2 linked regions of the Danio rerio genome follow. The protein of the gene in region 1 purifies or fractionates together with the protein of each later gene. This does not show direct contact. Links are inferred from orthologs where the notes say so. Each region holds a gene or a part of one and is shown in the gene's direction. Other genes may lie near its edges. The genes, in order: mkln1 and maea.

Region 1 (3,831 bases):
GATTTGACCTTCAATTTTTTGAAAAGTCCACATTCTGCAGTCTATAATGTGTTCATTTCAAAGATTTATGTACCGTTAAACAATTATTAGTCATACAGCATGAAAATTAAAGTATTAAATATTTAATTTCTTTCACACTAACAGAAAACTGCGTCATTGTCTGTGCACGTCATAATCATTAACAGTTTTTTAATGCGCCAACCTGTTCCAGTTAGGAAAACATTCATGTTTTTATAACCCTCATATCCCGTTTGCACAGGCAGTTTCACACAATGTTAAACATGAATTGAAGGCACATTACAACTAAAGTGTTTTCGTTTTTCCTCTTTCCTGAACAGTACCGTGAACAAGAGGCCATCCGCTTGTGCCTGAAACACTTCCGGCAGCACAACTACACAGAAGCCTTCGAATCCCTGCAGAAGAAAACACGGATCGCTCTGGAGCACCCCATGCTTACGCACCTACACGAGCGGCTGGTTCTCAGAGGAGACTTTGACGCCTGCGAGGAGCTGATAGATAAGGCCGTGAGAGGTACCTCACCCACGGTTTCATCATATGGATCTGCGCCATATTCATTAAGTAGGGAATGTGGGCATGTTGGTTCACTGTAGGGAACAGAATGGTTCTGGATTGTAATCGTGTTACGTGGTGAGCAAGTACATCCTTGTTGACGTTTAATGTCAAATATAGATGATCTCTGCACAGAAGGTCAGGTTCAGTCAATGTTAGAGCTGTATTTGTGATGTAAAGTGTTTAGATCATAGGTCTCAAACTCGATTCAGCTGCAGCTCTGCACAGTTTTCCTCCAACCCTAATCAAACACAGCTGACCCAACTAATCAAGGTGTTCAAGACTACTAGAGACTAGCAAGCAGGTGTGTGTTGGAGGCGGTTGGAGCTAAACTGCAGTGCTGTGGCCCTCCAGGAATTGAGTTTGAGACCACTGCTTTAGATGATGGCAGAAAAACTCAATTCATAGCATTGGGGAACAGCAGAATGTACTTTAAATATTAATGAAATAGTAGAGCAAGGGTTTGATTTCCAGTGATACCAAGATCCGAAAAAATGTGTGCCTTCAATGAAATGTAAGTCATATTTGTAACCTAAGTCATAATTGTAATTGTAAGTCATAATTGTAACCTGACTCACATTTGTACTTCCTCATACTCTCACTATATGAATAATAGTGACCTTTTTTACTGTTTTCAAAAACTCCCACTTAAACTAATGTTGGTCTGTTGTTTTGACTAAAGGGGACCATTTAAAATAAGCACTCATGCATTTTCAATACAAGTAATATTTATTTTTAACCTTGTGAGTCATATAGAAACAAACAGTCACCAACAAAAACCACCAACATGCAGTTATTTAAAGGATTTCCCTCAAACCTGCAGACCTGTCGGTGGTTTCACACCAACACCACTGAGAATCGTAGTGTTGGTCATATGTCAGTATGCATCTCTTCACATTAGAGCTGGCTTCAGTTAAACTTACAGAATGCGTGTTCACAAAACCCCTTTATGGAGGCTTTTAAAAGATGTCTGGATGTTATTTGACCCATTATTTCAGACTTTTTCGTTTTAATCAAACATCCTATTTTGGCAAAATTGTTGTAAATGTGTAGTATTTCACCCTATGTAAATCTATTTTAATGCTAGGTATACAAAGTGGAAAAAACACGGGCTGTTTCTCAATTCCAAGAATGCAGAGAACGGACTTGCGCTCTTGTGAAGACCAGTCTTGCTAGGTTACCTCAAAAGAACGAACTGGGAAGACCACGAGAACACAAACCGCGTCCTGTGAGAAATAAGACGATGCGTTCTTCCTGATGGTCACATGACCTACAAGCATTTTTAACAGAAACTTATTTAAATATTACAGCATATATACAAGGATTTTTTGTTTTCCCTCTTTTCAATAAGTATAACATGCACGAAACCCTAACAAATATACATTGCACAATACAAATACATCAGTTTTTAATATGAACTTTAGCAAATAAACACCCTTAATGTGGTTGTCTTTATTAAGATTTTCATGGTTATGTTTACTTTCACCATCTTATTTAGTGAAACTCCTGAGATAAATTAGTTTTATCTCTAAATTCTAATAATAAATCTATATAAAATGCTGCGCTTTCCCACCTCTCGTCGCAATGACTTCTGGGACTTCTAGAATGAGTTCGGTGCTCAAGTTTGCATCGGTGCATCCTCGATACCAAAGAAGCATCCTGGAACTTTCATGCGTCCTTCGTTCTTGTAGTTGTGAGTTTTGGAACTGACCTTTAATGGTGGATGATGACATTACATGAGGACACAAGATTGCTGAAGAACGCATATTGAGAAACCGCACAATAGTTCCTCTGAGGAAGTTCATGACAAAAAAAAATGTCCCAGTTGAAATCCATTAAAATGGAAGTATTACATCTCGGTGTCAAACAAAGAGTCATACACTCTTTACTAACAGTTCTCTAATTTGTTGGTATTAGATTAAGCTTTTTTAAATGCAGAATTTATCATATTTAGCTATATTTCTTCAGGTTTTGCCTGTGCAATAAATTTTGCATGTTGGCTGCATTTGAATATTGCAGGCCAAGTGAATTAATATTACGTAATTGTAATTATGTGGGTGTGTTGGTATGGATGAGTTTTTGCTTCATGTTTTTGACATTATGTAAACAAACTAATTTGAAGGGCTGAAATTCATAAAAGATGAGTTTTTGGTAGTTATACAATCATAAAATCAATATCAGAAAAAGTGTAAAATATAATTTTCTTATTTGTTAGACAGTTTTGCACTCTATGGACCAATGTGTAACGTTTGTTCGTTGGTTGGTTGGTTCGTTTTCTTTTCGGCTTAGTCCCTTTATCTATCAGGGGTCTCCACAGCGGAATGAACTGCCAACTTATACAGCAAATGTTTTACGCAGCGGACTTAAGGTCATATTTTGACTTATTTACAAATTATTCATGTTATTAACCTTATTCTACAATGCAGAAGTGCTTTCCTTTTTACAGTTGTTTCAGAACTTCTGATTCAGTCGCCTATGGGAATAATAAATAAAATGGTCAAAATACTTGCTCTACAATCAAATGTTTTCATGACTATACATAAAAAGTGGAATAATATAATAAGAAAACATCAGTGTTTCTAAATCAAACAGCATAACAAGTTGTTTTAAAAGTCTCAAAATCAATGAAAGCGAATAAGAGCGGAAGTCTGGAGCAAAGATTCCAATGGCTGCCGTACGCTCATACGTTAAGAATACGGTCAATAGGACTTTGGAATAAGTGTCGTCAATACTGTTATAAATCTTGTTTTAATAATATGTGAGCTGAGAAAAGTTTTTACACACTTCATGTTTAAAGTTGTTCTCAGTAGATCATATTTATACACACTCTCTTGAGTGGTCACAGTGTAAATTTGCGGTAATTAGAACCTAATGTACACTCGGATTGTTTTCCGCTCAGGGAGCATGCATTAGCAAATTAACGTGCACACTTGACTCTTTATCTGCTCTCTTCCAGATGGTTTGTTTAATCAGTACATCAGCCAGCAGGATTATAAGCCACGCTGGAGTCAGATCATCCCCAAATGTAACAAAGGTACGACAGCAGTCCGCTGTGGCACTGAATCTGGACACTGGACTCCAGGAAGTCTGCTGCTGTATTAATGACTTACCGACTTCTTCCTGACACGCACCACTTCTTATTGTTTTTTTTGTTTTTAACTTTCTGATTAGGCGATGGTGATGATAACAGGCCGGGCATGAGAGGAGGTCATCAAATGGTCATTGATGTTCAGACAGGTACGTTTTACATCACGCTGCTCA
Region 2 (4,388 bases), on another chromosome or scaffold:
TATAGACATCCATTCATACGCACAAGAATGCGTCACATTGAAAACGCAGATTGCTGCGTTGAAAAGATCAAACTTGGAGTACAAAATCGCATCACATAATTGCGTGAGATCGAAAATCCAAAAATGACCTCTTCGGACAGGAATTTAAAACATGGACCTATCACTTGTTTTTTTTTTTTTAATGTATAATCATCTTGTTTAATCCCGCCCCTCTTGCAGCGACATATAACAGGATTTCACATGCTCAAACTCTAGTGTGACTGTTACCTGTAGATTTCAAACAAGCCTGAAGGACTCGGTTAGTTTGATCATGTGTGTTTAATAGACCCTTTTCACACTTCTGGCTTTCTCAGTAGTGGAAGGCATCATGGTTGGGTAAACTTAGAGCGCAGTGAATGGGAGAGTACAACAAAAACATCTTTTACAATCCTATTTGCTGAAATATAAAAAACTCCATGGTGGTGTTATCACGACTTTCAGAAATAGGGGGAAAAAATTGTGTGAGACTGATGATGGCAGCCAGAGGAGACAATAACATCAAATTTACTCTAAGCCCTACAGACGCTACAAACACCTCGCTTTAGAGGTAATTGGTTTTAATGTAATTTGACGCAAAGTTGATCTAATACATTCATAAATGCATATAAATGTTTACGTGTTTTTTAAAAATCTAAATATTAAAAACTTTCAGGGATTTAAGTTTATGATGACTGCTAAACGTGTTAAACAATGACCCTTAAGTTAAATGTCTTTTAAAAGGAGTCCATTAGGGTTGGAACTAGTTCAGTAAAGTTAGCAACGAATCTGTGAATCTGTTGCTACCTTTGCTGAACTGTTGGAACTTAACGTTAACTGTGCAGAATAGAGGTAAAGTTGGTTTTATATTCGCATATTCGTTCATTTAGAAGTCTCTTTCTTGTTTACCATGTTACTTTGAATATTCGATCGGAATTAGCATGCAAGTATGACTTCTAAACAACATTAACACTATGTAATTCACTGTGAACAATGTTGTACTTTAACGATCATTTACTGCTAATATGATTTCGCTATTTACAATTTTCAAATAATATTTTTCTGGAATTATATTATTCAGGAGAATGTCTGAATATCCGAATATAAAACCAACTTTACCTCTATCTGTGCAGCTGAGGCGATCCACAAACTGATTTTGACAGCTGTGCCTTAAATAATGGGTACATTTTTATTTTTGGCTGAATTATCTTTTTGATCCTAAAAACACAAGCATTCACCGCCACACTAGGAGGCGGTAACAAACAGTTCTAACCTCGCTGCCGCGGCGAAGACCAAATCCGGGAAGAAGACGAACAAACGCTCCACAGTTTCCCCAAAGCAAGATGGCGGTGCAAGAGACAGCAGCTCAACTCTCTATGGCCCTAAAGGTGCAAGAATACCCAACTTTAAAGGTCTGTCAAGCGTTTCCTCTCCATAATCTAATCACGCAACTAAACAGATTCCGTGTGCGTTGTTTGACCTCAATAACAGGGCATCAAACTGAGATTATCCATCAAATTAAAACTGTGTCTGCATTTAGACAGTTAACTGGTTAGCTCTGGGGCTAGATAACTTAGCAAAACAAGTCCCACACAAACCGATCTAACCGGAGTGATCGCAAATATTCCAGCAGTGACATCGCATGTTCAGTTATAAATTGCGTCGACAGCTGTGTTAAAGGGGTAAATGAGTCGATTAATGTCAGTCTGGCCCATGTCATTCTTGCGTTCCGACAGTGTTGTGTTAATAGACGCTGTTTTATCCCATCACAGGTTTGTCCACTAGTGTAACCAGCGAGCAATGCAGTTCAAGGCAGATTGACGATAATCATTAGCGAGGTTGGATAGTGAGTGACACGAATAATATCGGATGTACTGATGCTTCATAATCGACTGCTGTTCAGTCTCATGTGTGCGTTTGATTGCTATTTGGCGGCTGTCATCTAAAGCTATGATTTTCCGTGGCTTTAGATGAATGCTGGAGGGATATACACATGCCAATGGTGACCAGAGATCGGTATGCATGCGATTTATGCACCATATTAGGATCACATTGTATCATGTTGTGTTGGTCGTTTGCGGGCTTAACAACCAGGTGTAGATTGTCGATGAGGAGCTTATTATTTACGGTAATGGGTGGGATACAGCACCTTTGTTCTCTGCGTCAGAGGTTTTTTTCACGATTGATAGCGTCGTTATGGATGAATCCTCACGTTAACCGGTTCTTTTGACTGATTGATGATGCATTGAGTGCTTTGTGACGTGATTAGTTCATGGATCTCATGTAATTTGACGCCTGTTTATGTAAACGCACACTGAATGTCAATAATATATGGTCTTCACTGCTGTGTCAAGGGCATGTTGCATCTAAGCTTGTCTTGCAGCATTGGGAATGATTTCCAGTACATTCTTGATCATTGCATCATGATCTAACCATATATACCAGTCGCTATTTTGGTGCAGAACCAGAAGCCACATTGGTTGAGGAAGTGTAATGAAAATATGTGGAACAGCTCTTTCATAAAAGAGACTGGTTGGTGTAATGTTTTAGAGGTAGATGAATCATTACAATTGATATTTGTTCATATTTACAAATTATATAATGGTGTACAATCGAAAAGGAATACATTCCTTTTATGACATTTAATTTTTACTAGTGTATGTCACAAATGAATGGTGGTTGCTGCCTAATAATGAAATAAACAGATGTCTTAAAGAGTTCACCTAAAAACGAACTACCTATGAATATGTATAACCCTGATATCATTTCCTCTTCTTTAAAAAAAGTAATTGGCAGTGAATAGCAACCAGCATTACAGGGCTAGTTTACTCAAAAATTACATTTTGTTATTAAATTCTCACCCTTATGTCATTTACAATTTCCTTTATTTTGTCTCCAGAACACAGTTTAAGATTTTTAGAGGATATCTGAGAGCTCCCTCATCCTCCATAGATGGCAACATTCACATTCTGACTGAAGTTAGATGGAATGTTTCGAAAATGTTTTGGTTCCTTTTTTTTGAACTTTGAATGTCTCAGGTCTGTTGCAGTCTGTAGAAAGAGCTCTCAGATTTCATTATAAATGTCTTGTGGCCTGCCCTGAGCCATATGGTATAGGGTTGTCATGATACTGGAATTCGGTACCAATCGATACTGAAATTTTAAAAACATCAATTTCCTGCAAACATTTGTGCACTGTTGAGCACATTCTTAAACACTGCTGATTTGCCATTGTATTCACTAACTCAACAGAAAAAACTGTGATTATTACACTAAGTAAACAGCAATGAATTTGGTGAACTAATGACCTTCACGGCCAATCACAGTCGTTTCTTTTGAGCATGTGAACACAATGGCGAATCAGCGCTGTGCTCAACAGCGCTCAAATGTTTGCGGGAAATGGACTTTTTTTTTTTATTTCTGTACAAATTGGTACCAAATTCTAGAATCGTGACAATCCTATGGTATGGTGTGGTAGAGTATCGTACTTTTTTTTTGGCCCATTTCACTGTCTAAGGAACCAAAAAAGCAGACCGTACCACTTTTTGGGTAAAGAGCAATTCCAGCGTTATGAATGTGACATTTGTAGTAAAAATTCAAAGCAAAAACTCACAGAGAAAGAATATGTTAACATTATATTGAAACATTAGTTTATATTTCCTAGAACAACTAACCACAAAGTCAAGTCATCCGAAAATATTAATCTTTAAACATTTTTAATATTTTAAATGAGAGAAGTAAACATGCGTTATGTACGTGACCAAAAAGTATCCAAGTTTATAGTATACAACATACTTGGTAAAAATTCTATGAATTAAAGTGCACAACCCAAAATAAAGAATGCTAATCAAAAGGATAACTATAGAACAGCTCACTATAGCTTACTATTGTTAGCTCACTATAGAACAAACAAGATTGGTTTTATTTTATTTGACATTTCCATTAATGAGGAAAAAACTTCGTTATGGATGTTACATTTCTCTGTTATGGATGTGACAGATGTGAAATTGCCACTTGTGTGACTTTGGTAAACCAAATCTAATGGTTTGAAAACATTGACAGAGGCATTTTTGAGTATTTATAAAGTGCTGTAAAATACTTGCTTACACAAAAAAACCTAGAAACAGTTTCGCTACTTTGTTGAAAACTTTGTTGGAAATTTTTTTTTTTTTCATAGCAAAGTTGACATTTGCATGGGATTGCTCTACAACAAAATGGTACAAAAAGGGGTGGAGCTAGACGTACAGCTTAAAGAGCCCATATTATACATGAAATAGGGTCATATCCTGGTTGTAAGGGTCTCCAACAACAGTCTAATATGCATGCAAGGTCAAAAAACACTTTGATGGTCTTATAATCTGCATTTATTTTTAC

What was found.
Region 2: the proteins of mkln1 (region 1) and maea purify together in Homo sapiens (affinity purification with western blotting; 3 studies listed by BioGRID and IntAct, with this or other methods). This does not show direct contact. The link is inferred for Danio rerio from reciprocal best matches to the Homo sapiens genes MKLN1 and MAEA.

What each region holds. Positions count from the first base shown.
Region 1 is NC_133179.1:12,276,661-12,280,491, forward strand, and holds part of mkln1 (muskelin), read left to right. Parts: intron 1-338; coding exon 339-531; intron 532-3,526; coding exon 3,527-3,604; intron 3,605-3,741; coding exon 3,742-3,807; intron 3,808-3,831. UniProt on the Homo sapiens protein: Component of the CTLH E3 ubiquitin-protein ligase complex that selectively accepts ubiquitin from UBE2H and mediates ubiquitination and subsequent proteasomal degradation of the transcription factor HBP1.
Region 2 is NC_133189.1:25,445,204-25,449,591, reverse strand, and holds the start of maea (E3 ubiquitin-protein transferase MAEA), read left to right. Parts: upstream 1-1,276; 5' UTR 1,277-1,358; coding exon 1,359-1,427; exon of another isoform or gene 1,428-1,989; coding exon of another isoform or gene 1,990-2,031; intron 2,032-4,388.